Alligator mississippiensis: one gene and its partners. The protein of the gene in region 3 interacts with the protein of the main gene of each other region in a biochemical or structural test. Links are inferred from orthologs where the notes say so. Each region holds a gene or a part of one and is shown on either strand. Other genes may lie near its edges.

Region 1 (8,041 bases), on a different chromosome or scaffold from region 3:
CAGTCCCCAGGGCTGACAGCACTTCCAGTGATAGCAGCAAAACCAATCAGGCTCGGAAATCAATCCAACATAGCCATAAACCCACAAAGCTCTACCTCCCCATCCCCCCGGTAAATCAGGACTGTGTTAGACTCTGCTCCATCATGCAATCAGCGGAATCCATCAATAAGCTATTTTTTCAGATCTACAGTTAATTAAAGCGAACAAGGCAGTGGACTGGACAGCCTGGAAATAGAGTCTCTTTAATCATCCTATTTAACAGACCAAACGCTACTTGATGAAAAACATCAACAATTAGAGCTGGAACGCTCACAGGGCAAGAACTACAATTATGTGTAGCATCCATTATCTGCCCTTCTTGGACGTATCAGCGAGTTTCAGCCTTGCCTGAGTTGGCAGTTATTGATAAGCAATTTTCATTAGTGCCTAAACTCAATTTGCCATGTGGACCCAACATGACCCAAAGCCACCCTCGCTCAACACTGGTGCTGCCTGCATTCAGTATAGTCCCTGACATGTAATGCCCTGTTATGATCTGGCCCTGAAGAATTGTATAAGGGAGAAGCAGTCTGTGTGAGACTCAGATCTATACTTAAAGGCACTGGTTCCTTTCATGTAGGCAAGAGATACCCCTCCACCTTGGGATCCATTCACCAACACAACATGTGGCTGAACAAAGCTTAAATGTGCAGATGAAGAGAGAAGGGAGACGACAAGAGAGGAGCGATGAATGCCAGTGTTTGTAGATGTACGTACTCCAAAAGCGGGTTGAATAAGCTCACCTAGCAGGGAAGGCTTAACAGCATCCAGTGCCCCTAACTCTGCTCACTCCTGCAACCCAAGGATCACTTTGGCTTCTAATATTTGTAATTCTCAAACCTGTCATTAATATTACTAACCATCATCAATTGCTTGACCCTTCTCCAACTCCTTGCACCTAAGCATCTTAAGGCATTTTATCTGTGTTGACTTAACTACTAAAGCATCCTGCAACCCAAATAATTATCCCCATTTCAGAGATGGGGAAAACCAAGGCACATAAGTTATGGGCTACAGTTACCAAAATGACCTCTAATTGAGTACTGGTTTGTGGACATGCTTCCGCTGACCTCCGCGGGGTGTTGGGAATGCTCAGCACTGCTACATGCCTTGCACTGGACACTCAGAAGTTGGGGCCACTTTTGAAATTGCCCTTACATGGCTTGCCCAGGCTGCATAAGAAGGATGTGGAAGAACTGGAAAAGATCTCTGGTCCCCTGACTACCAGGTTTTACCCACAAAATGATCTTCTCTGTCCTTTTACGATTGGATGTACTAGACTAATCTGTGAGGTCAGTAAGCTAAGGGACACGCTACATCACTTAAACCTGAACTTGGCAAGAGTTCAAGACTGAAAGAAATCCTCTGTGGATTAGCTTTTTGTTGTGCATGTAGCTCGGAGAGAGGAAACTTCATTTAACATGGAAAAGCCTAATGCAAACAAGCACCAAGAACCAGAGCAAAAATATTCACGTGGACTTGGAGGGTCTCCAAGATGTGCAGGCCGGGTGGATACAGTAAATAAAAGCTTGTAGGAAGCAGGGTGAAGTACACTGAGGTGGACAGAGTGCCAAAGCCACAACACAAAGGACCAATCGCATCTTCAATCAGCCTCCTTAACAGCCTCTCTGACATTTGCACAGACCATGAGAGGCCCTGACATGTGTCTTAGGTGCCATTATATAGAGTCCCTGGAGAGAGAGCCCAAAAAACTAGTCCCACCCCCAAAAGCACAAAATCATTAGGATCGTTAGGAAGTACTGAGCTGAAGGAGAAACAGGCTCAGAGAAGGCCCAAACCTATATCAACAGGTCTGACATGCATCAAAATAGAAATCATAGAGAAGAGCTGGAAGGGACCTCTGGGGTCATCAAGTCCAAGGAAATCCCTTCCTGGCAGGTCTGCTGGGCAACCTCCACTTGGCTCTGGCCAAGCTTGTCATCTACCAGACTTGGAAGGACACCCAGGGTGGAGCCAACCTGGGGACCTGTGGGCAGATCTTCTTCCTCCACGCATATCTCCAGGCAGTTTTACTGGGCAGCATTTGCAGGCTCCCTAGATGCATTCAAGGGCTGCTTTCCTGTCCTGCCTTTGTGTTCACGTCTCCAGGCAGAGTTTCACTGGCTCCTTGGACTTGGTGGTGAGCCAGTGGGTGCTGGCCAGCGTGCTCTGCTCTGTGTCCCTCCATGGTGTGCCCCTTTTAAACCTCTGATCTTCACTCCTGTCCCCATTTTCTTCTTTAGGTGTCCCCAGCAATAATGTCATGTGCACTTTGTGGCACCCCATATTAAAGGGGGGCTTGTAGCTTTACATGGTGGGCATTAGCCCGCATTCCCAATGCACACCACATAGCCCTGGATGCGTTTGAGGAGCAGTGGGCACCAGCTGATGTCCCCCGCTCCGCGCCCCCCTCCAATCCCTCGTTATCACTCCAACCCTCGCCCCTGTCCTCCACGATATACCACGGTAGCACCCCCTGTTGCTGAGCATTTCCAGGTTGGCCTGGCCCCGTGGAGCCAGCCAGCCTGTCCTTGCAGAGGTGGAAACACCCCTGGACACGGATGGCCGAGGTCAGGTTCCACGTGCAGAGAACGTACGAACCCTGGGCAGGATCAGCACCTGGGGCAGGCTGTGTCGCCAGCCCTGGCACTGCACCTGGCAGGGGATGGGGCAGCAGTGCAGCCCGGTGGTACCTCCAGCAGGGCACCAGGACGACAGCAGAGGGGCACCGGTGTGGCCCGGTACCTGCAGATGCCAGCCCAGCATCACCGCAGCCCCTGCCCCTGCCCCACTGCAGAAAGCCCTGGCCCTGCTGTCCTTGCATGGGCAGGTGCCCCTGCCCCGCCCATCCCCACCACCAGGGGGCGTCCTGCGGCCGCGCCTCACCCGACTCCTCGTCCTTCTTATCGAACTTCTTCAGCATCCTGGCGCAGGGGGTGGGGGGCGCGTGGAACGCAAAGCCCGGCACGGGGGGCAGAGGGTCGCGAGCCCAGCAGCGGCGCCACTTCCTGCCCGCACGCCACTTCCTGCCAGGCTGTCACTGGGACACCTCAGCCCGCCCGTCTCGCGCATGTGCGCACGCGCAAGGCGCCCGGAGCCGTCACTCACCTCGACGTGGCCGGGCGAAAGGAGGGGGCTGCGCATGCGCTATGCGGAAGGTGGTGCTAGGTGGTAGGCGGGGCACGGCCCAACCCAGGGCTGCGACCCGAGAGGGAGGCAGCCGGTTGCGCATGCGCGGGGCGGTGTCCGGCGCTGGCGCTGGGTCGGGACGAGGCTGGTTTGTGGTCTGGGGCAGGGAGCGGGTTTTAAATATGAAATTGGAAGGTCAATTCCCGTATTTTCTGAAAAACTGTCATGCACTGAAACAAAAAGTGTGCACATAAGACTTTTTAAAGTGACGTCATGTTATGTGGTCGCTTCTGCTGGTGTCATCGCAGGCTGCGCCCCCCTGCTTGGCACTGCCCGCTCAGCCTTTTTTTGCAACTATTTAGTTGGTCTAATAAAAGAGACCTCCTCTCCCCAAAGACTTGGCCAGGAGGTTTTGGTTTAAGTCTTTCTCCAACTGCGGGTTAAACTGAATTTATTACTGCGATTGTTCTTGTCTCTGTTTCGCGGCTCGGGGCTGCGTCTTGTAAATCTTGTACGCTTTATTTTGCAGCAGGCTGTATTAGGTACGTGCCTGGAATTTGCAAGCGAGGCAGGCGCAGAACCCCTTTGACTTCCAATCAATTTAAGATGTTACATAGTATTTAAAATAAAGCTCTTAGTATTATTACACAATGGGATTTAGCGATGTGTTTGTTATGCAGCTACTTTCTATTGCTCACTGTTTAAATCTCCAGTTAAAGATAAATGGCAGATATGACTCACTTTATTCCTTCTCAAATTCCAATTCAATGCGAGTGAGAACGGGTGAGATCATAGGATTAAATAAACTAGTTCAGCTCAGATTGTCGGTGGAGTGACTTACTTGGTTTTTTTCCCCCAAATATAATGATGTGAAAAAATTATTGTACATTTTGAACACTTTCAGTATTATCTGTTGTACAAGGGTTAAAATTATCATACAAATACAGTTTGCGTGAGCAGACTCTGGAACGGACTCCCAGCAGGGGTGGTGCAGGCACCTACTCTGGAGGTCTTCAAAAGGAGACTGGACACACACCTTGCTGGTGTTATTTGACCCCAGTTGTCTTTTCTGCCCAGAGCAGCAGCCAGTGGTAAGCACCTGCAGCTGGGAGCCCTCTCAGCTGATAGTGCTCCCAGCCCCAGGGGTGCACCTGGCTACATCTTCCATTAATGGTGTGATAGGAACCAGACACAAACTTACTACATGTGTTTTGTGGAATAATTTGGTGCCTTATTCCTTATGTATCATATCACTGAATGATTGAACGTGTGGCCAGGTTACAACTTAAGATGTGATTAACTGGTTAATCATGCTTGAAATGTAACGTGTGGCAGGGGCCAGAGTAATTTAGCACTATGAGTCCTCAACACCCTTGGCTGCCTCTGTCTCAGTCCATTCCCCTCTCTTGTGTGCCTGTGTGGGATGTGGCATCCATTGAACATTTCACTAACAATGGTTTGGGAATGAGAATGGACACAAAATCCCATTAAAAAATGCAGGACCAAGGGTTTCTGAGGGTGCTATCTTTTATTGGACCAACTGCCTGGACCATCACAGCTACAGCATCACTCCAACACTACTTAAAAATGCAGGGGCATTTAGGGAAACCTGGAATTAATTCAGTGAAATTCAGCCAGGACACGGCTGTGCACCTCCCATAATGACTAAAGGAAGGCAGGGCTTACATTTTACATCTCATCTGAAAGCCGACACTTCCAGCAATGGAGCACAGCTCCGCCTAGCGTCATGCTACCAGGCTGTTCAGCGCTGATTCAGACTGAAAGGTGTTACCTACCACTATAATCGCTGAGGATTGCTATAGCCCCACCTGTGAGTGAACACCCAAGGACTCTCCCAGTTCAGATCCAGTCCAGCTCTGCTCAGCAAGTGAGATGGGACATCCGAGTGGGTCATGGCACTGGCTGCATGTCCTCCATCCTCTCTGGACGGAGAGGTCAGACTGTACAGAAGCCGCATTGTGGGGAATGTCATCATTCTCTGGAAAAATCATGGCACCTAGGAGTCTAAGTGTTGGCAAAAGGAAGCCTAGCTGTTACTACTCACCCCTAGCACTGTTTATTGGTAGAGTTAGCACCTGTTGCTGAAACCTCCAGGCGCTGCACCAATTTATCTTACCTGCCTGACCCTCTGAATCACAAAGTGCACAGGAGCCCTTCTTAAGAAACATCTTGCCAGATACTGTAACTTTGCTGCTAGCACCTACTGCAAGGATCTGTAAGGAGAAGCGTACTTACCAGTGATCAAGTAGTCATCAAAGAACATGGCAGTGTCCAGAAACAGCTGCAGCTGGGCTGAGGAGGGCTTCTCCTTCCAGCCAGTCCTTTACCTGTCCTGTGCAAACAGGCAGTGGACTTTGTACCTGGTGGCTGGTCCCTGCTCTCTGCTGTTATCTCAAAGGCTCACCAAAGACGTGGGAGTCAGGGTCCAGCGGTGAAATGTGACGTTTCACATTTACACACAGTTGCATTCATGGCTGGCAAGAGCGTTGTTTCTGCTAAAACCCTGGTTGGAGACCCAAATAAGACATGTGGAGCAAGTGGGGGGAGGTCAAATACTTGACTGACATAAACTGGTGCCATTTCACTGCTTTCCATGAACCAGGTTTAATTTGGCTCCTATTTCTATTGCCGAATGACTCTGCTTTCTCTTTATTCCCTATACACACCATTGAATTTGGTCAAGGAGGATTTGAACATGGCTTGTTGCCAGAGATTGTCACTGCTATACCTGGGTCAGCTCCAAAGCAGTTGTTCAAGGGCTTTGCACAATTACATCCTGCTAGATGGGAACTGCTCTCCTTGCGGCCTGCTATCATCACAGCAGTTCCTGACCCACATTGTCTCCACTTCACTCTTGGTCCAGAAGGACCTCACAAGAGATAATTTTACTCTTCAGTCAGTTGACAACCGCAGGGGTGACTTTGCCTCTTACTTGCCACCTTACTCCCAAATGACTTGCACACTGCCAGCATGGTACACTTCTATCAACCCCTGGCTTGGTTACTACCCTATTCAGGAGACAAAATGCCAATAGAAGGAAGGAGCAACTTGCTGCAGCTTCACTTATTTCTGGGCTCATCTATTGTCTGGTCCCCAACGATAGAGATGCATGCTACCTTGGGGGACAGGGTCCTACCAGGTTATGATGATGCAGTCAGATGTGACATACTAGTCGAATGGTTATACAGACAACAGAAGTGTTTGATAAGACTCCTTTTATTTTACATATCCCATCTTTCTTTGCACTCTCTCCTAAATTCTTCAGTGTGATAAATATAAACTCTCTTATACAGGAGAATGAACATCTTTTTTTTATAAAGAGAGATGCATAGAGATAGCAAGAAGGAAACACATTTAAGACCTTGTATTTCAAATGTCTGGAAACTGGCATATTTAAAAATATACAGCAGTACAGTGTATTGGGTGAAGTGCCAGATTTGGTAGCCTGAGTCACAAAGAGACAGTTGTCCCTGCAGCCGGAGGGAAACCTGTCTAGAGAGAAATCCAGAGGTCATGTCTGATCCCATAATGTTGTAAGCAGGAGGTATTGTTCTACTGCAACAACAGAGCTACGCCGACATAAAGGGAAGAGCCAGGCCTAATTGACTTGTGTTTCTTTTCCCAGGGTCCCAGAGATTGCTGAGACAAATATCCATTGTTCCTGTCCATTAGCTCTTAACCTGTCTCAATTTCCTGTAAACCTCACCTGTCAATTTTGCTTTCTGTATTATCCCCAGAGTTGTTTCATTTTCTGTCCAAAGCACAGGGAAACATTCTCCTTAAAGATCAACTTCCTTTCGTTAAAACAAAACTGTCAAGAAATAGTTTCTTGCTAGGGGCCCCCAAGCTACCTGCCAGCCAGGGGTTGGGGGCCAGGGATCTGTAAAATGTTGGCTGTCGACTGGGTCAGGAGACGGGAGCAGCATTTATCTCATTTTTTGCTTGTTCTGTGTCACACAGCAACTCTGGTGCCTCTCCCACTTCCCACATTAGTCTGACAGAAGCCCCTGGGGCTGTTTGGACTTGAAAGTGGCTCCAGAATATGCAGACAGAAGGTACCGTGGATTCCCAGGCCCTCCTCTCTGCTTGCTTGTTCCCTGACTTTTCCATACCCGACCCATTATTGATCATTATCCTCCCAACACCTGTGAAGTAGGAACTATCTTTATCTCCATTTTACAGAAATGGAAACTGAGACACAAAGAAAGGGGTTATGAGCCCTTCTCAACTCTACCAGGAAATCTGTAGGAGAAATCAAAATAGATCTCCGGAGCTGCTGAATTTCAGTGCAGAGTTGTCCCTCCCAGACCATCCTTCCTCTGGATACAGACAGATGAAGTGCAAGCAAGCTCAGCCCAGCCCTGCCAAAGGCCATTGCAGGTATGTACATAATTAAAGGTGAGTTCTTAGATCCTTTCATTTAGGCACTGACTACAGCAAAAATGTTTCTGAACGGAGACTAAATAAAAGCCTCTCTACCTGGCACATTAAGCATGTCTGGCAGGTACAGGATAGGGCTTTTGTCTGTAGAGCACTTTATATACTTTTGAGGGGAAGGGGTGCCATAATTGTTCCCCTTCTACAGAGGGGAAAACTGAGGAAAAAGATGAGAAGTGACTGCCCCTGTTTGTTTCCAGTTGGGTTTTTTTTCCAGGCAACTAACCTTTTCTGAAGGAAAAGGAGTTGGCACCTGTCTACAAGGAGCTAGATCCAAAGAGGTAGGAGTCAGCACCCTACGAACAGCCAGTTCTCAGTGAACCACCAGCAGGCGCTTTCTGAACCACGGGCCACAACTCAGGAACAAGTGCACTGGTTACATCACAGGGGCTGCATTACGCTACAGAGAATCCCA
Region 2 (7,966 bases), on a different chromosome or scaffold from region 3:
ACGGGGTCTAGGAAACACGGGACAGGGTGCAGTGCCTGTGCGGAGGCACATGCTTGCACATGGATGCAGGCTTGCACATGCACACGCCAGCCTGCCCACAATGGGACAGAGTCACCTCTGGGCTAGGAGGGGCCCAGAATGTGGTGCCTTTGCCAGCCTGGGTGCGTGTGCATGCGTGTGCATGCATGTGCATGAGCATGCACACGTATTGTGCCTATAAACAAGTGTGTGTGTGTGTGTGTGTGTGTGTGTGTGCAAACTCTGCCTGCCACAACCCCCCTCCCCTCCAGCAAGAGCCAACCCCTGATACCCCCAGAGTCGGTGGTGTGCAAGACCTGTGACCAGCACCCCCTCCCCCTGGCACACACGCACCTGCTGCCCCACGCCCCCACCCCTGCCCTGGACTCCTGGGTTCCCAGCACCCGGTGTCCCCCAGACATGCCTGGAGAGCCCCAGCCAGACCTCTCTGCACCCCGGGAGCTGAGGGGAGGGGGGCAGGGAATGGACCCAGGTGCCCGGGGGGTTGATCTGGGGCCACAACTGGAGGTGGGGGGCCTGGAGCAGCCCCTGCGCCCCGCCACCCAGCCCACGGCTCTCAGGTTCCCACACCTGCCACAGCATCGGGCAGAACAAAGTCCCCATTGAGAAGCCACAGGTCTTACCTGCTGGGGTCCCGGGGACGTGGGCACGAAGCCTGGGGGCTCAGGGCACCCCCATGGCGCAGGCGGCAGGGCCGTGGCCGTGGCAGCTGTGGCTCTGTGCCGGCCCCAGGCGGGCGGCGGTTACATAAGCCGGGGCCGCAGCCCGACGCCTCCCCTGCTTGTGGCCACACAGGCACCGGCAGCCACCCCCCTCCACCCTCCCGGCCCTACGGTGGAGGCCTCACAGCAGGGAAACGTGAGCCTGAGGGACACGCATGCCCATGCACATGACACATGATGGGCGACACACGCACGACACTTCCCCTGTGCACACACACACGGAGCACACAGTGCCCTGCGTGCACCCATGAACAGCAATGTGCGCTGCACTCGGTCAGACCCCCACAGACATGCGCACACCACACATGGGGCCACACACGTGTGCATAGGCACACAGCAACACGCACACGGGGACACTGCAACATGACGCACGGGGCCACGTGCACACGGAACAACACATGCAATGCACACTGAGGTATCTCCTTCACATGTACTCACACACATGCGTGTGCTTACTGACATGCTCTGAGCCCAGGGGGGTCAGGCCCAACACACAACGTACGTGGATGTGCACGCACGCCTGGTGCATAGCCACGCACGCCTGCTCTGGAAGGCATGTGTGACGGCACAACACAGACTCACACAAGGAGCCCCCGACAATATGGGGACGTGTGTGTGACAAGGGGACATCCGCAGAAGCGCTGCACCAATGTGCAACACACACACGCACACAGACAGGGCTCCACGCAGCGATCCACAGACACTAAAGCAGTGACATGTGTGCACACACACGTGCAAACATGCACACACATGGCACCAAGCTGGCTCCGAGACTCCTGGGCCAACTGTAGCACAAAGCTAAGTGTGTCTCCCCCCCGCCCATTGCCCCCCAGGGACTCCCCAGATCACACGTGTGTGTGTGCACATGTGTACACTGAACAGGCTGCTTGTGTGCGCCCCGGGGGCAGCATCTGGGGGTGGGGGGGTATAAGGCAGGCACTGGAGACTGCGCCGTTTATGGGAGGATCCCAAATTGGCCCCACCCCCACTGTGGGAGCCAGCCAACGAGCAGGGAAACTGAGGCATGGAGAGGGGACAGGCCAGGCCCAGGTCACGGCAGGGGACCAAGAAAGAAAACCCAGGCACCCCGGCTCCCAGCCCTACCCAGGACACCCTGCTCGCCTTTCAGAGCTGAATGCAGAACCCAGGAGTCGAGGACGGTGGTGGCCCAGTCCTGGCCCAGCCTGCTCCGTGCCTCAGTTTCTCCATGGAGGGGGGAAGGGTGGAGGCTGGCAGGGTCATGGCTTGGCACTGCCCCTCCAGCCACCCCCTGGCCCAGATTCTGGGCCTCTTGGTGCTCATGAGCATGGGCACTTGCATGCCCAGCACACTGCAGAGCTGGGGTGGAAGCCAGGCGTCCTGGCTTTGAAGAAGGGACCCCGAAGCTGGCCAGGAGGAGACCTGGGGCAGGTGGGGCCACGCCACGGCCCTTTCCCCACTCCTGCCAGCAGCAACAAAAGCCCCTTTATGGGCCTTAAAGGTACAGGCCCAGCCCCGAGTTGTGCCAGGAACACAAGCTGGAAGCAGGGTGGGCACATGCCTATGACACATCACACATGGGGAACCTGGCCTGGAGCACACCAGGAACGCCAGGGCCGCACACACCTGTAACATGCCACTCCCAGGTTACTGGCTCCTCGTGCACCCACAGCACACGCGACACGGGAGTGCAGCTCAGAACGTACGTGGGCACGTCAGGGCCGCACTCGTCTGCAACACACACCACACACTTAGCATGTGCGTGTCCCACGCTCCGCCTGTCTCCCGCCGGGCAAACCGGGGGTAAATCTGTGCCAGTCAACTGCAGGGGGGCACAAAACACACTAGTGGCACGTGGCCACATGTCCGCAGCTCTGGCTACGGGACCACACTGAGCTGCAACAAGACCCAGCCCCGTGCTCTGACTTATGCTGGCACTGAGAGCACATACGTATTGCATGCGCAGGCCACGCATGTGGCAGGCGACACGCGTGGGCACGGGCTCTCTTGTGCCCCCGGGGCTCCTGGGCCAGGCTCCAGCTGGTCGCCCCCCCGCCCCTTGCCCCTCGGCCGTTACTGCGGTTTCCCTCCCACCTCCGGCGTCTGGTGCCAGATGGACCATTTATAACCAGCACCCAGCGCCCCCCCGCCCGCCTGGCCATGCTGGGCCCTGGCAGGGCTGGAGGCAGGGGCTGAGCTGGGCCCCCGGCATTGCGAGCGCCCCTGGTGTTGTGTGTGGCGAAGCAGCCACCTGCCCACCTCAGAGGTGGCTGCGTTCCCAGGCCTGGGAGGCACCGATCCTGGCAGAGCTGCTCACCAGGGCACGGTGCGCGGAGGGCAGCTAGGCTGAGAGCAGAGCCCACTGTCCCGGAGCCAGGCTGTTACGGGGGGGAAGGAGGGGCTGGGCAGGCGGGGGCCGCCCGCTTATCAGCACCACGCAGCGGATCCGCCCAGCAGCTTCCTCTGCAACCGGCGGGGCCTCGGCCGCTTCCCCCGGCCCCAGCACTTCCCTGCCGAGGAACCCAGGCGTCCGGGCCCCCCCGCTCCTAACCCACTCAACCCCACTCCCTGCCCTGAGCTGGGGAAAGAAGCCAGCCCCACTGGGATAGGACCCAGGTGTCCTCCACCAAGTCCCTGCTCTACCCACTGGTCCCAGCTGCCCCCCCCAGACTCCGAGTTTCCCCCCTGGCTCGCGCCCACCCCCACAGGGTCCGGGGAGTCACACACGCGCGTGTGCACATGTGCTAGTGCCAGGTGGGGGGGCTCCAAGTGCCTCCAGATGCCTGGCAGCAGGCAGCAGATGGCAGCTCTGCCCAGGGGAGTGGGGTCACAGGGGGGCTGTTGCCCATCTACCCCCCATCCTGCCCCCTTGACTATGGCTCAGCCCAGGACGGGGCCAGGGTTGTGCAATGGGACATCCCTCCCCCCCCCCCCCCCCCGCATTGTGCAATGCAGAGGACTCGCCCCTGGAAGCCCCTCCTCCCCCGCCGCCCTGCCCCCATCCTGCCCCCACCTCGGCCTGGTGCAGCAACTTCCTCTTTCCAGGAATGTGGGTCTGCCCACGGGCATCTGCTGGCAGGCGCTGGGGCGGGCTCCGGGCAGGGGCTGGGGGGCTCTGGACAGTGTGGCCAGACCCGCCTGCCTGACCCACAAGTCGGAGGGCTGGGCTGCCCGGAGGGTGGGGGAGGGTGCAGGCCTGTGTGCATGCCCCCCTGTGCCCACGCGTGTCTCTGCGGGTGTATAACCAAGCGTGTGGGAGGGCACCTGTGTGCATGCGTATGGCAGCGCTCATGGATGCCTGTGTTTGCATGCAGGCAGCCCCCACCTCTTTGCCAGCAGCAGGAGCTGATCTGCCCATAACATGGGGGGGCAGCGGGTTGGCAGGCGTGTGAGCGGGCACGCATGTCTGAGTCTGGCATGAGTGTACATGTTGCACGTGCATGCCCATGCACAGGCGTGCACGTGCCAGGGGAGGAAAGCGGGCAGCCCGGCCCCTCCACAAGCCACAGGTGCTGGTTTGGGGGGAACATGAGTACCCGGGACAGGACACGCGTGTGCATGGCGTGTGCACGGGGTTGGGACACCTAGGTCCTGGGTCCTTCCCTGGCCCCAGCAGGGCGGGGGCAGCAGGGGACACGTCTATGCCAGAGGCAGGTCCCCCCGGATCCCAAGTCCTGAGAAGTGCTGAGTCCAGAGGTCAAGGGTCATAGGTCAACATCCCACCCCAGGATCATGACCCCAGAAAGGGCCACCAGTCAACTGCACCCCACGCTGGGGTCGTGACTCGGAGGTCAAAGGTCATAGGCCAACTCCAGCCGACCCCCGGGTCACAACCCCAATGGACCCGGCTACAGCCCACAGCCCTACTCCAGGCCAGCCGCACTTCCGGTCACGTGACGCGAGTCCTCCGCCAATCCCAGCCCAGGTCTTGCAAAGAAGATTATGTCATCGCTTCCCCAGTCGTCATAGGAACTGTCCCGCCCCTCGCGGGGAGGAGCGAGGCCCACGAGCGACAGTGGTGTCGCCCAATCCTCGTTGGGGTGGAGGGGTGGGGTCCGCCCATTCATTGAAGCGCAGCTCCCGGTTGGCTAGAAGGAGGAAGTGGGGTAGCCAGTGAACGGGGAGCGTGCGGACGGGGGCGGGGCGTAGAGCCGGGATTGGCAGGCGAGCAGCCAATGGCTTGCGGCCTGTGCTCCGGCTCCACGTCGGCAGCGGGGAGCGCAAGATGGAGGCGTTGGTGCTGGTAGGAGCGGGCTCGGCCGGGCCCTACCACCGCCGCGGGGGGGGCGGGCCGTACCATTGGGGCCGGGGTGGGCCTGCAGGACCTTACCACTGGGGGCAGGGAGGGGGGCAGTGGGCCTTGCCGTGGGGGAAAGCGGGGCTTGGGCCCTACAATTAGGGGCCAAGGAGGGGAGGATTGGGCCCTACCATTATGGGACATGGGGTGGGCTACCATTGGGGAGCAGGGAGGGGTAGCTGGGCCCTACCATTGGGAGGCAGGGGGGTCTGGGCTCTACTATTAGGGGATGGGGGGGTCTAGGCTCTACCATTGGGGGATGGGGGGAGCTGGGCCCTACCATTGTGGGGTAGAGGGATCTGGGTCCTATGGGGGGGGTAGTGCTGGGCCCTACCATTAGGAGCCAGGAGTAGGGCTGGGCCCTACCATTGGTGGATGGGGGGCTCTAAGCCCTACCATTGAAGGGGCAGGGGGGCTGGGCCCTACCATTGGGGGATGGGGGGGGGAGCTGGGCCCTACCATGGGGGGTCTGGGTCCTACCATTGGAGACGAGGTGGGGGCTGGGCCCTACCTTTAGGATACACTTAGTGGGACCCTGGTGCCGGGCGAGGCCCATGGGCATACCCCCCACCCCTATGTCAGTGCCCAGCGTAGCAAAGGCTGGGCCAGGGGGGGCGGGAGGGAGGGCAGGTTGCCGTTCACTCTGAATCCTACTGACACCTCGTGCCCTGCCGCACTGCTGACGGCTGCAGCTGCTCCTGGGCCCCGTCTCCCTCCCCCTGCAACCCGAATGGCCCGGAGCAAGCCCCGCCGGCTGCTCTGGGGTCCTGCCGGCGCCTGGTGCTGCACGGGGCGCTGTGTGCTGCAGAGCGGGCGGCCTGCTCCCGGTGCCCGGCTGCAGACGGACGGGCTGTCGGGGGTAGGGCTGGGGGTCCGAGCAGGGTGGGGGCCGGGGGGCTGCCCCGGGGGCGGCTGGTGGCCTTTGAGGCGGAGTTCTGTCATACACTCGGACTGTGCTACCTGGGGTCAGTGCATCACAGAACTTTGTCTCGAGCGCCCGGATCCGTCGGTGCCCCCGGGACCCCTGGCCCAGCCCCGGCGCCCACTGGTAGTCACCCCCGGCCCACCCTGCCCCAGGGGCCAGCACTTCAGTACACCCCCCCCCCGTGTGTGTGTTTTGCCTGGAGACCTGAGCAATGCGTGCAAGGGGGGGTTGATATTAAAGGGGACTGGGAGGGGGTGGGCAGGGGGTGACACTGCCCAGTGCAGGGCTTGGCATGGACCCACTGGCACTTGCCTCGTGTCACCCTCTGACAGCTGGTGCAGGGGTGGGGTCTGTGAAAGCCACCAGCATGGTGGGGGGGACAAATCCCCATGGGTCCCTATCCGTGCTGGGGCCAGCCAGGCATCCCATCAGGCTTTGCAGGGGGGCAGTGGGCTGGGCTGGGGGCAGCACCCACTGGCACCTCCCAGGCATCAGGTGTTGTGCCAAGCTCCATTGGGGAAGGGGGCTGGCAGCATGGGGCACCTACCCCAAGGGCTTGGTGGTGGGTGGAGCCCGGGCTTGGTTGCCTCTCGGCTCATAAGGGGGGGGGCACGTGGGACAGGTGGGTGAGAGCTGCCCTGGTGGCATCGGTGCCCTCTGTCTCTCCCCAGCGTGACGTGGCTGGTATGAGCCCCCCCGAGCCTAGTGCCGGGGCCTGGACCTGCCTGGGCAGCCCCAAGGAGATGGGGGGCACCCGCTGGGTGGGGGCAGGGCTGGCACTGATGGTGCCATGTCCCCACAGGACCCGTCGTTGTACACGGTGAAGGCCATCCTCATCCTGGACAACGACGGCGACCGGCTCTTTGCCAAGGTGAGCATGGGGCGGCTGTGCCAGGGACTGAGGGATGGTGCCCAAGGGTGGTGGAGGCTAGGGGCGCCTGTGCCGGGGAGGGACACGGGCTGCACCTAGGACCTGGCTCCTTTGCAGAGCAGAGGCTGCTGTGCCCACTTGGCGGAGGGAAGTTAAGTGCCCACGGCCTCCGCGGCAGCCCCAGCAATAGCGGGTGCTCCCGGCCCCTGGGCTCCGGCCCAAGGGCAGGTGCGGGGTGCTCCAGGGGGCCGGGCTGTGCTGGGTGGGTGCAGTGCCAGGCTGACGCCGGTGCCCCCTCTTCCCCAGTACTACGATGACACCTACCCCAGCGTCAAGGAGCAGAAGGCCTTTGAGAAGAACATCTTCAACAAGACCCACCGGACGGACAGTACGGCCTGGTGGGGGGGCACTGCCTCAAGGGTGGGATTGGGGCACTGGAGGGCACTGCCAAGCCTGGTGCCTGGCAGCAGAGGGGGTTGGGGGTGACCGGGGCCCCTGGCCTGGGCCCCACCCCCCAGGCCCAGTGCAGGGTGTCTACAAGCGGCATCTGACCCCGTTTTACCAACCCCCCCAGGCGAGATTGCGCTGCTCGAGGGCCTCACCGTGGTCTACAAGAGCAGCATAGACCTCTACTTCTATGTCATTGGCAGCTCCCACGAAAACGAGGTGAGGGCAGGGGGCGGGGCCTGGGGGCGGAGCTGGGCCAGGCAGGGGTGGGGCCTGGGGTGGGCATAGTACAGGGGCAACTATGTGGGGGACATGGAGGGGGGTCGGTCCTGGTGCTGCCCTGGTATTGGGCGTTGGACAGAGGAGGGCATCAGGGCTGGGGGGGCAACACGGGCCGGGTCTGGGTGTGGGGGCTGAGTGCGGGGCCCAACTTGGCCTGGCCTGGGGGTGGTTTCTGGGCAGGCTGGGGCGTTGTGGGGGGGCGAGCCCGCAGTCAGATGGGAGAGAGGGGGGTGTCCAGACAGTGCTGCCATGTGACCCATGTGTCTTGTGCCCACAGCTGATGCTCATGGCTGTACTGACCTGCCTCTTCGACTCGCTCAGCCAGATGCTGAGGTGGGATTCGGCAGTCCCTGGCAATGCCAGGCAGGGTGGGGGGTCCCTGACAGTGCCAGGTGGGGACAGAG
Region 3 (7,721 bases):
GCGGTGGACGTAGTCTTTCTGGACTTTAGAAAAGCCTTCAACACTGTATCTCACCCCATTCTCATTAACAAATTAGGCAACTGTGGTGTCGATCCCTACACGGTCAGATGGGTTGCCAATTGGCTGGAGGGCTGTACCTAGAGTGGTGGTGGATGGGTCTTTTTCGACCTGGAAGGATGTGGGCAGTGGGGTTCCGCAGGGCTCAGTCCTCAGACCTGCACTGTTCAACATCTTCATCAGCGACTTGGACGAGGGGGTGAATAGCACCTTGTTCAAATTCGCAGATGACACTAAGATGTGGGGGGAGGTGGGCACGCTAGAGGGGAGGGACAAGCTGCTATCAGATCTGAACAGGTTACAGACATGGGCGGATGAGGATAGGATGGGTTTCAACACTGACAAGTGCAAGGTACTGCACCTGGATAGGAAGAACCAACAGCATACCTACAGGCTGGGTAACTCCCCTCTCGCCAGCACAGAGGCAGAAAAGGATCTTGGAGTCATTATTGACTCAAAGATGAACATGGGCTGCCAATGTGGGGATGCAGTCAGAAAGGCACCTTGTCATGCATCCATAGATGCATCACGAGCAGGTCCGAGGAGGTGATCCTCCCCCTCTATGTGACCTTGGTCAGGCGCCAGTTGGAGTACTGCATCCAGTTCTGGGCGCCACACTTCAGGAGGGATGTGGACAACATTGAGAGGGTCCAGGGGAGGGCCACTCACATGGTCGGGGGTCAGCAGGGCAGGTCCTATGAGGATAGGCTGTGGGATCGGAACCTGTTCAGCCTCCACAAGAGGAGGCTGAGAGGGGATCTGGTGGCCATCTATAAACTGGCCAAGGGAGACCAGCAGGCAATGGGAGAGTCCCTGTTCCCCTGAGCACTACCGGGAGTAACAAGGAACAACGGCCATAAGCTGACAGAGAGCAGATTCAGCCTGGATATCAGGAGGCACTACTTCACAGTCAGGGTGGCTAGGATCTGGAACCAACTTCCAAGGGAAGTAAGTGATCCTCGCTCCTACCCTGGGGGTCTTTAAGAGGAGGCTAGATAGACACTTTGCCGGGGTCGTCTGACCCCAGCATTCTTTCCTGCCCATGGCAGGGGGCCGGACTTGATGATCCGCTCAGGTCCCTTCTGACCCTACTAACTATGAAACTACAATCCAGCCTGTCCAAAAGACAATCAGGAATTTATTAGAGTTCTTTTGCATTCATTTGTCTGTATTTGCTATTGTAGGTTTCAGTCTTAGATATCTTATCTTTGCTAGCCCTATTATACCTGGGCTCTGTTCTTGCATTTCTCAGTGGGCGCATCTAGACATGCTATTACGACGCACAAATAAACTGTGGAGTTTATTGCTCTGCAGATTATTGCTTCTGGGCACGCTGTTTGAACATACCAGGAGCAATTAATTCTGGAGCAATTAACTTGGGAGCAATAAACTTTGCAGTTTATTCATGCGCAGTATGTGGAGCCAGACCAGAGCAGTTCCAGTTGGCAGGGAGCCCTGGGGGTCAACCTGCCAGCATGGCACAACTTGCTCAGTCCCCATGGCTCAACTTGCTGTAGGAGGGCTGGCTGGAGCACGAGGGTGCTTCAGTCGGCAGGCAGCCCCTGCATTGAAGAACCCTCATCTCCCAGTCAGCCCCTGTAGTATCTACGTGTGCACTGCTGTTGATTGTTTTACTCTACAGTAGGATAGTATTTGTATTTACACGTACTGTCCTGCTGTGGAGTAAATTAAGCTACTGCAGCCTAATGAGGTGCATGTGTAGATGGTAGACATTTACTGCACAGCTAATAAGTCAACTGCACAATGAATGTCTTATGTAGATGTGCCCAGTTGGATTGTTTAGCATTCCCATCCTCATGGAAGGGTAAATCCAGAAATGTAGTTGGGGCGGGGGGGGGAATACATTCCTGAAGCACTTGCATAATGCACAACCTCCTAAATGAGAAGCAAGGTAGCAGGATACAATAGGATAGTTGCTTTAGGGTGAGCTAATTAGCCACCCTGCCAGGATGTATGAAGGGTTTACTGTTTCTCATTTGTGAGGTAGCACATCTGCTGCTGGAAACATTTTTTCAGGCTTGGCTGCTGCCCTATTAGCTTGCTTGTTGTCACTATGCTCCCTCCCTAGTATTATAACGTGATGTCCTTTTAAGAGAATCTCACTCACCATATGCAGTGACTTTTTTATGGTCCCAATATGATTTTGAGATTGAAGGTGCTTCTTGGCCTTCTCCCCCTGGCTGCTCTCTCAAACTTCCATAATATTAAGTCACACTGCGTTTCCTGAGTTTGTCAAATTTTTGTCTAAAAAATGGGTAGTACTTAAGTTACAGTTACTTCCAATGCTTCTTCCTCCTGAGCCATGCTTTTATGCTTTACATGCTCTTTACATGCTCTTTTAAAGCAGATACACATTGATGTCCTCACCAGGCCTGCACTTTACATCTAACCAATCTTTTTGTGAATTAATAACTATTTTCTGAAGCTTAAGCAGTGGCTTATACATAGTTTCTTAAGACTGCTTTGCAATTCGGCATAGTCTATTTTGTTTCCTGCCCATAATATTAATAAAATTGCTACAGAAAATAATCATCACCATTTCTTTTACAATCTGAACATAGTTCTGTATTTTGGAAGCATGTGCCACTGGTGATCATGCATCAAGACATAATCAAGCCATCAGTGGTGTAAGTACAGGGGGAGTGACAGGGGCAACCATCCTGGGTGCTAGCAGACGTGAAGCAAAAAAGAGCAGCTGCTGCCAGCAGCCCCAGGTTCACATTCAGGACCACAGCAGCAACCAGAAGTTGCTGCTTCTGTTTTGCTCTGGGTGCCTGGCCACATCCCTGCATTGCTGCAAGCCATGTGCGCTTGCATCAACCATAGTCATAGGCTCTTTGCCAATTTCAAGAAAACTTCCACAGATGGAGAAACCACAATTTCTCTAGGTAGCCTGTTCCAGTGCTTGACCACCTTTATAGTCAGAAAGTTCCTCCTAAATATCCTGTTGCAACTTGAGGCCATTGCTCCAGGTCCTGTCTTCTGTAGCTACAGAGAAAAGCCCATCTGCATCCTCTGTAATCGCCCTTCAGGTATTTGAAGACTAATGAAAGCCCCACTCAGTCTTCTCTGACTAAACCACCCTATTTCTTTCAGCCTTTCCTCGTAAGTCTTGCCTCCTAGGCCCCAGTCATTCTTGCTCTGCTCTGGGCTCATTAAAATCTGCCCCTGACATTTTTGAAGTATGGGGCCCAGAACTGGACATGGTAGGCTGGGGGAGGAGGGGCCTTGCCAGGGCTGAACAGAGTGGAAGAATCACTTCGGTGGGCACACACTTCTCACAAGACAACCACTCTTTCTCCAGTCTCTCAGTTCTAATCCTCAAAGGCAGTTTACAAAACACCTTTCATAGACAAGCCTACAACTTCACTTCATAAATCTATTGGATACAAAAAATCACAGACTAAATATAGACATTGGATTGACAGCACATTATAACCTGCCTGCCATCTGACAACCCCAGGCAATCAGTCTGCATTTTATCAGCTACATTCTGTCACCAGTTCAACATTCCCCCTTCCTTCCCTGCCCCACCTGTCTCACACCTATTGTCTCCCATTCCCTCTGAACCTCACCGCCACACATTTGCATCTTTACAGACCAGCATTTTACATACTGGCTTCTGTTCTACCCAGGAAAGCATATAAAACAACACTGGACTCTCCTTATATCTGAAGAAGGGTGTTTGTGCCCGAAAGTTTGCAAAGAACAATTTTTCCAACTATTTAGTTGGTCTAATAAAAGATATCACATCTAGCTGAAGAACCGTCTGCCGTGCCTGAAGCCAGTGAGCTTCATACCACCAAAGCCTGTGCTACAGAGCTAGCTAGCTAGTAGAACTAGATAGACAGACAGACACGCGTGCACACACACTTAGTTAGGTAGACACTGTCTCTCTCAGGTTAGCCTGTAAGGTACCAGTCTTCCTGCCTGCTTCTTGACTTCAGCCTAACAAAGCCAGCTCTGTCCCACCTCCCCCAGGTCAGGTCAAATGAGTAAATGTCTCCCTCCCCTCCAGCTCTTCAGAGCCAACATGATGCTCCTCAGGAGCATCCTGCACAGATGCATGGCAGGACAGGGTCCCGAGGCCCTCCTGCCCTAAGCAGGGGCTGAACTAGAGGTCCTTGTGAGGCCCCTGTCAGCTCTGCTCCTCTGTGCCTCAGCATGGGGCAGCCTGGGGAGAGAGTGGCTGGGATAGCTGCTAGGGGAAGGTTCCTGCCTAGAGTTGGCAAGCAGTAGGCTTGGCAAGTCAATCAGTTGACTCTATATTTTTGAGAGGGTCAAAGATGATAGCAAATTTACAAAAAACCCTATTTCTTTGTAGTTTTCTTGACAGAAATATGATGTATTGTTTTTGACACATTCCTTCATGGAAAACTTGTGCTTTTCCTATGTATTATTTGGACCCTTTGGCAATTTTTTACAATGTTTGACTGCTCAATTGACCAAACTTTATTTGACGAACCCAATCCCCACCCCTCCCCAGCAGCGAAGAGGCACGTGGCAGCGCCCCGGTCCCAAGGCTGGAACAGGCCGCGCCGCTGCGGCACAAGGACACGCTACGGCTGCGCGCGCCTACGAGGCCGCGCGCCACTGACCATTCTACTACCGCCCCACAGCAGGGCACGCGCGGCGCAGGATGACGCGGCCCCACGCCCGCCCCGCCCCCGGTGACGCACCACGCAGGCGGTGGCGGGTCACGTGCGGCGCGCGGACGTGCGGCCTGTGGCATCCGGAGCGCCGTGCCGCCGCCATGTTGCCGCTGCCTCCGTTGTTGTTGCTGCTGCTGGCGGGCCCCGCGCGGCCCATCTCCTTCCAGCTGCCGGGCAAGGCGCGCAAGTGCCTGCGCGAGGAGATCCACCGCGACACGCTGGTCACGGGAGAGTACGAGATCGGCGCCCCGCCCGGCTCCTCCGCTGGCCCCGCCGCTAACCTCAAGGTGCCGCCGCGGGCCGGGGGGGGGGCCAGGGGGCCGAGCCCGCCGCAGAGCCTGGACCGCGGCCTACACGTGGCACCGGGGGAGGGGCCCCACGTGGCGGCGCCGGCGCTTGGGGCAGCTCCGCTGCCGCAGCAGCGCCCCCCGCCGGCCCCGCCCATGCAGCTGCTGTGTTACGGTGGGGAGACCCCCATCGTCTGCGCTAGGCGGCAGCCCTGGGCGGCCCCGGGTCCTGGGCGGCTGCACACGCCCTTCCGGTGCCCGTGAGCCCCGCTGGGAGGGCGGGGCGCTGATGGGGTGGCAGAGCTCCGCTTGCTACCTGGGGGTGCTCTGGTGCCCGGGGTGAGCCCCCGAACTCCCTGCCTGGCGCCTCCTGGCTCTGTGCTGCTCCCCGTTCCTGCTCCTGGTACCAAGCACCTGCAGGGATCTCCTGTAGTGCTGCCTCCTTCTGTGGGATTGGTGCTGTAGACAGCCATGAGGTGCTGAGTAAGCAACAAGTTTGAATTTAAAAGCTGTCTTCTCTTGCCCGTGTGCAGCCGCCCCGGTGGAGCAGTGGCCTGCTGCGTGTCTTGCTGCCCTGCTCTGCTGTTTGAGTGCTGTGTGCAGGCTATGTGTTGGCTCTGCCCTAGGAGTGCTGGCTTTTGCCAATGCTTTTTAATGCAGTTCCTTTGCCATTGTGTACTTGGATGCAGAAGGGCGAGGCCAGAGCAGGATGTCTTCAGGTGGCACCTTTTCTTTGGCACCGGAAGTCAGAGTGATGCGGCAAGCTCCCCCTGGTTAGCTATGAACCTGTAGGAGGCTGGGAGTTGATATCGATTGTACTTGGGATGGTTCTTATTGATGAACAGAGTCCTGAGGGTTTGTGAAATCCCAATATGAACAGTGGCACCCTCTGTGCGTGAAGGCTGCTAAGTGCGCCAGCTGGCTGCAGAGTCTAGGCTCTTGGGTGGATGACGTTCCCCATGGCCCCGGTCACGTGCAGCTGTCTCATTGTTCAATTCCCCACACTCCCAGCGTGATGTGTTGTTTGTCAAGCGAGAACAATGCTGTGTCTGTGGGGGGGAGCAGTGTTACTGTAAATAACGCTAGGATATCATGAAGAAACTCTTTCAGGCTGGCTTCTCCCCCACAGAAGTGTTGATTGGGCTTTGTGCAGCTATCCTCTCTCCCATATGCTCGGTTTAACAGATAATGTGTTTGGCTGAGTCTGAGTAATGGGCCCAGTTGATGGGAACAGACAGCAGAGGTGTTATTGTCTGAACTGTGGTTTATGGGTAGTCTGCTGCTAGTGCTGGGGAGAGAACCCAGTCTGGGTTCTGGGGGAGAAATGAGTTAGTCCCAGGAACAGCACAGCCTCGTTTATGCAGAGAGGTATTTAACTGTGTTAATCTGAGGCCAGGCAGAAGGCTTGGCAGAGTTGTATTTTAGAGACTACCTAATTCAGGGATGTGTAAATTTTCATAATCAACAGCTTACTTTGTGAGATGTTTTTGTGGCATCACATGAAGTGAGCTGGTGCTTGTGAAATATTATGCATCTCTGAATTGGTTCGTTTATATGGTGCAACTCTACCCTGCTTTTCTGCTTGTTTCTGTAGAGAGAGCGGCAGGGGTTCCTCCAGCCCCAGAACACAGCAGACAGGGCCCAGCTAACCTTAGAGCAGCAGCGCCCCATGTAGAAGAGACCATTTCAAGTCAGTCCTACTTCTTGCCCACCAGCAGTCGATCTCTTGGATTGATGCCCTGTTGTGCAGACCGTACAGCATCACCCTGAATTAGCTTTGGTGAGTCAAGGTGGTACTGTGACTGGTCTCCAGGGCTGGTGAGCCGGAAGGCTGAACTCTGCCTAGGCAGAGGCCCATCTAGTACCAGATGGTCCAGAGCAGTGGTTCTCTGCAAATGGGTCCTGGTAAAATAGGTTAACATTGATGACCAGTCCTGACCCAATAAATAGTTTAAGTAGAAAACAGCCCTCTGGCCCTGCCGGTGCCCCTCACTCCCAACCCCAACTCCTGGGGGGTGGGGCATGGGGTGCCCCAAACAGCCCCTTGCAAGCTGGAACTCTGCTGGGGAAAAGCCATGGTTTCCCATGTTTTTTTCTATTTTAAATCCATTTTTAAAGTTGGTTGATCCATTTTTAAAGTTTGTTCGCGACCCTTTCATATATTCTTGCAACTCATTTCTGGGTCAAGAAATGCTGGTCCAGAGGAAGGAGCAAGAAGTGCTACAGAGCAAGTTTCTCCCTAATCTCCTGTCGGTTTATGGTTTGTTCCCTGATGTAGGAGGGTTTATCTATCGCCCTTGTTTTTATCCTGGCTGACGTGGCAGTTCTATCAATCGTGTTAAATAGCTGAATCTTTTTTGCTGAATCCTACAAAGTTCTGGGCTCCAGTGGTCTTTTGTAGGAGTTAATTAGATGCTCTGATGATAAATAAGGAGAGTGTTTCTTTTCACAAGTGTTTAAACGTGCTGCCTTTCCATTTTATTGTTTGCCTTTTTGCTTTGCTATTGTGAGCAGGGGTTGGGGGAGGGTTGATAGGATTGCCTGACTTAGCTTTTCTATGTCTTCATTATGTTGAATACCTCTGTCTTACTTTCATACCTCCCCTCTAAACTTGTCCCAAATCTTTCATCTGTTCTCATGAAAGACTTTCCAGACCTTTTCTCATTTCAACACCCCTTTCATTTCTGCTGTTTTTTCAGAGAGT

The links.
Region 1: the proteins of TMED10 (region 3) and COPG1 form a complex in vitro, tested with the Homo sapiens proteins (2 studies listed by BioGRID). The link is inferred for Alligator mississippiensis from reciprocal best matches to the Homo sapiens genes TMED10 and COPG1.
Region 2: the proteins of TMED10 (region 3) and COPZ1 form a complex in vitro, tested with the Homo sapiens proteins (2 studies listed by BioGRID, with this or other methods). The link is inferred for Alligator mississippiensis from reciprocal best matches to the Homo sapiens genes TMED10 and COPZ1.

The regions. Positions count from the first base shown.
Region 1 is NC_081835.1:19,921,498-19,929,538, forward strand, and holds the start of COPG1 (coatomer subunit gamma-1), read right to left. Parts: upstream 3,070-8,041; 5' UTR 2,963-3,069; coding exon 2,926-2,962; intron 1-2,925. UniProt on the Homo sapiens protein: The coatomer is a cytosolic protein complex that binds to dilysine motifs and reversibly associates with Golgi non-clathrin-coated vesicles, which further mediate biosynthetic protein transport from the ER, via the Golgi up to the trans Golgi network.
Region 2 is NC_081838.1:7,959,289-7,967,254, reverse strand, and holds the start of COPZ1 (coatomer subunit zeta-1), read left to right. Parts: upstream 1-4,897; 5' UTR 4,898-4,965; coding exon 4,966-4,983; intron 4,984-6,764; coding exon 6,765-6,833; intron 6,834-7,139; coding exon 7,140-7,221; intron 7,222-7,407; coding exon 7,408-7,499; intron 7,500-7,839; coding exon 7,840-7,895; intron 7,896-7,966. UniProt on the Homo sapiens protein: The coatomer is a cytosolic protein complex that binds to dilysine motifs and reversibly associates with Golgi non-clathrin-coated vesicles, which further mediate biosynthetic protein transport from the ER, via the Golgi up to the trans Golgi network.
Region 3 is NC_081825.1:261,331,724-261,339,444, reverse strand, and holds the start of TMED10 (transmembrane emp24 domain-containing protein 10), read left to right. Parts: upstream 1-4,702; 5' UTR 4,703-4,717; coding exon 4,718-5,017; intron 5,018-7,721. UniProt on the Homo sapiens protein: Cargo receptor involved in protein vesicular trafficking and quality control in the endoplasmic reticulum (ER) and Golgi.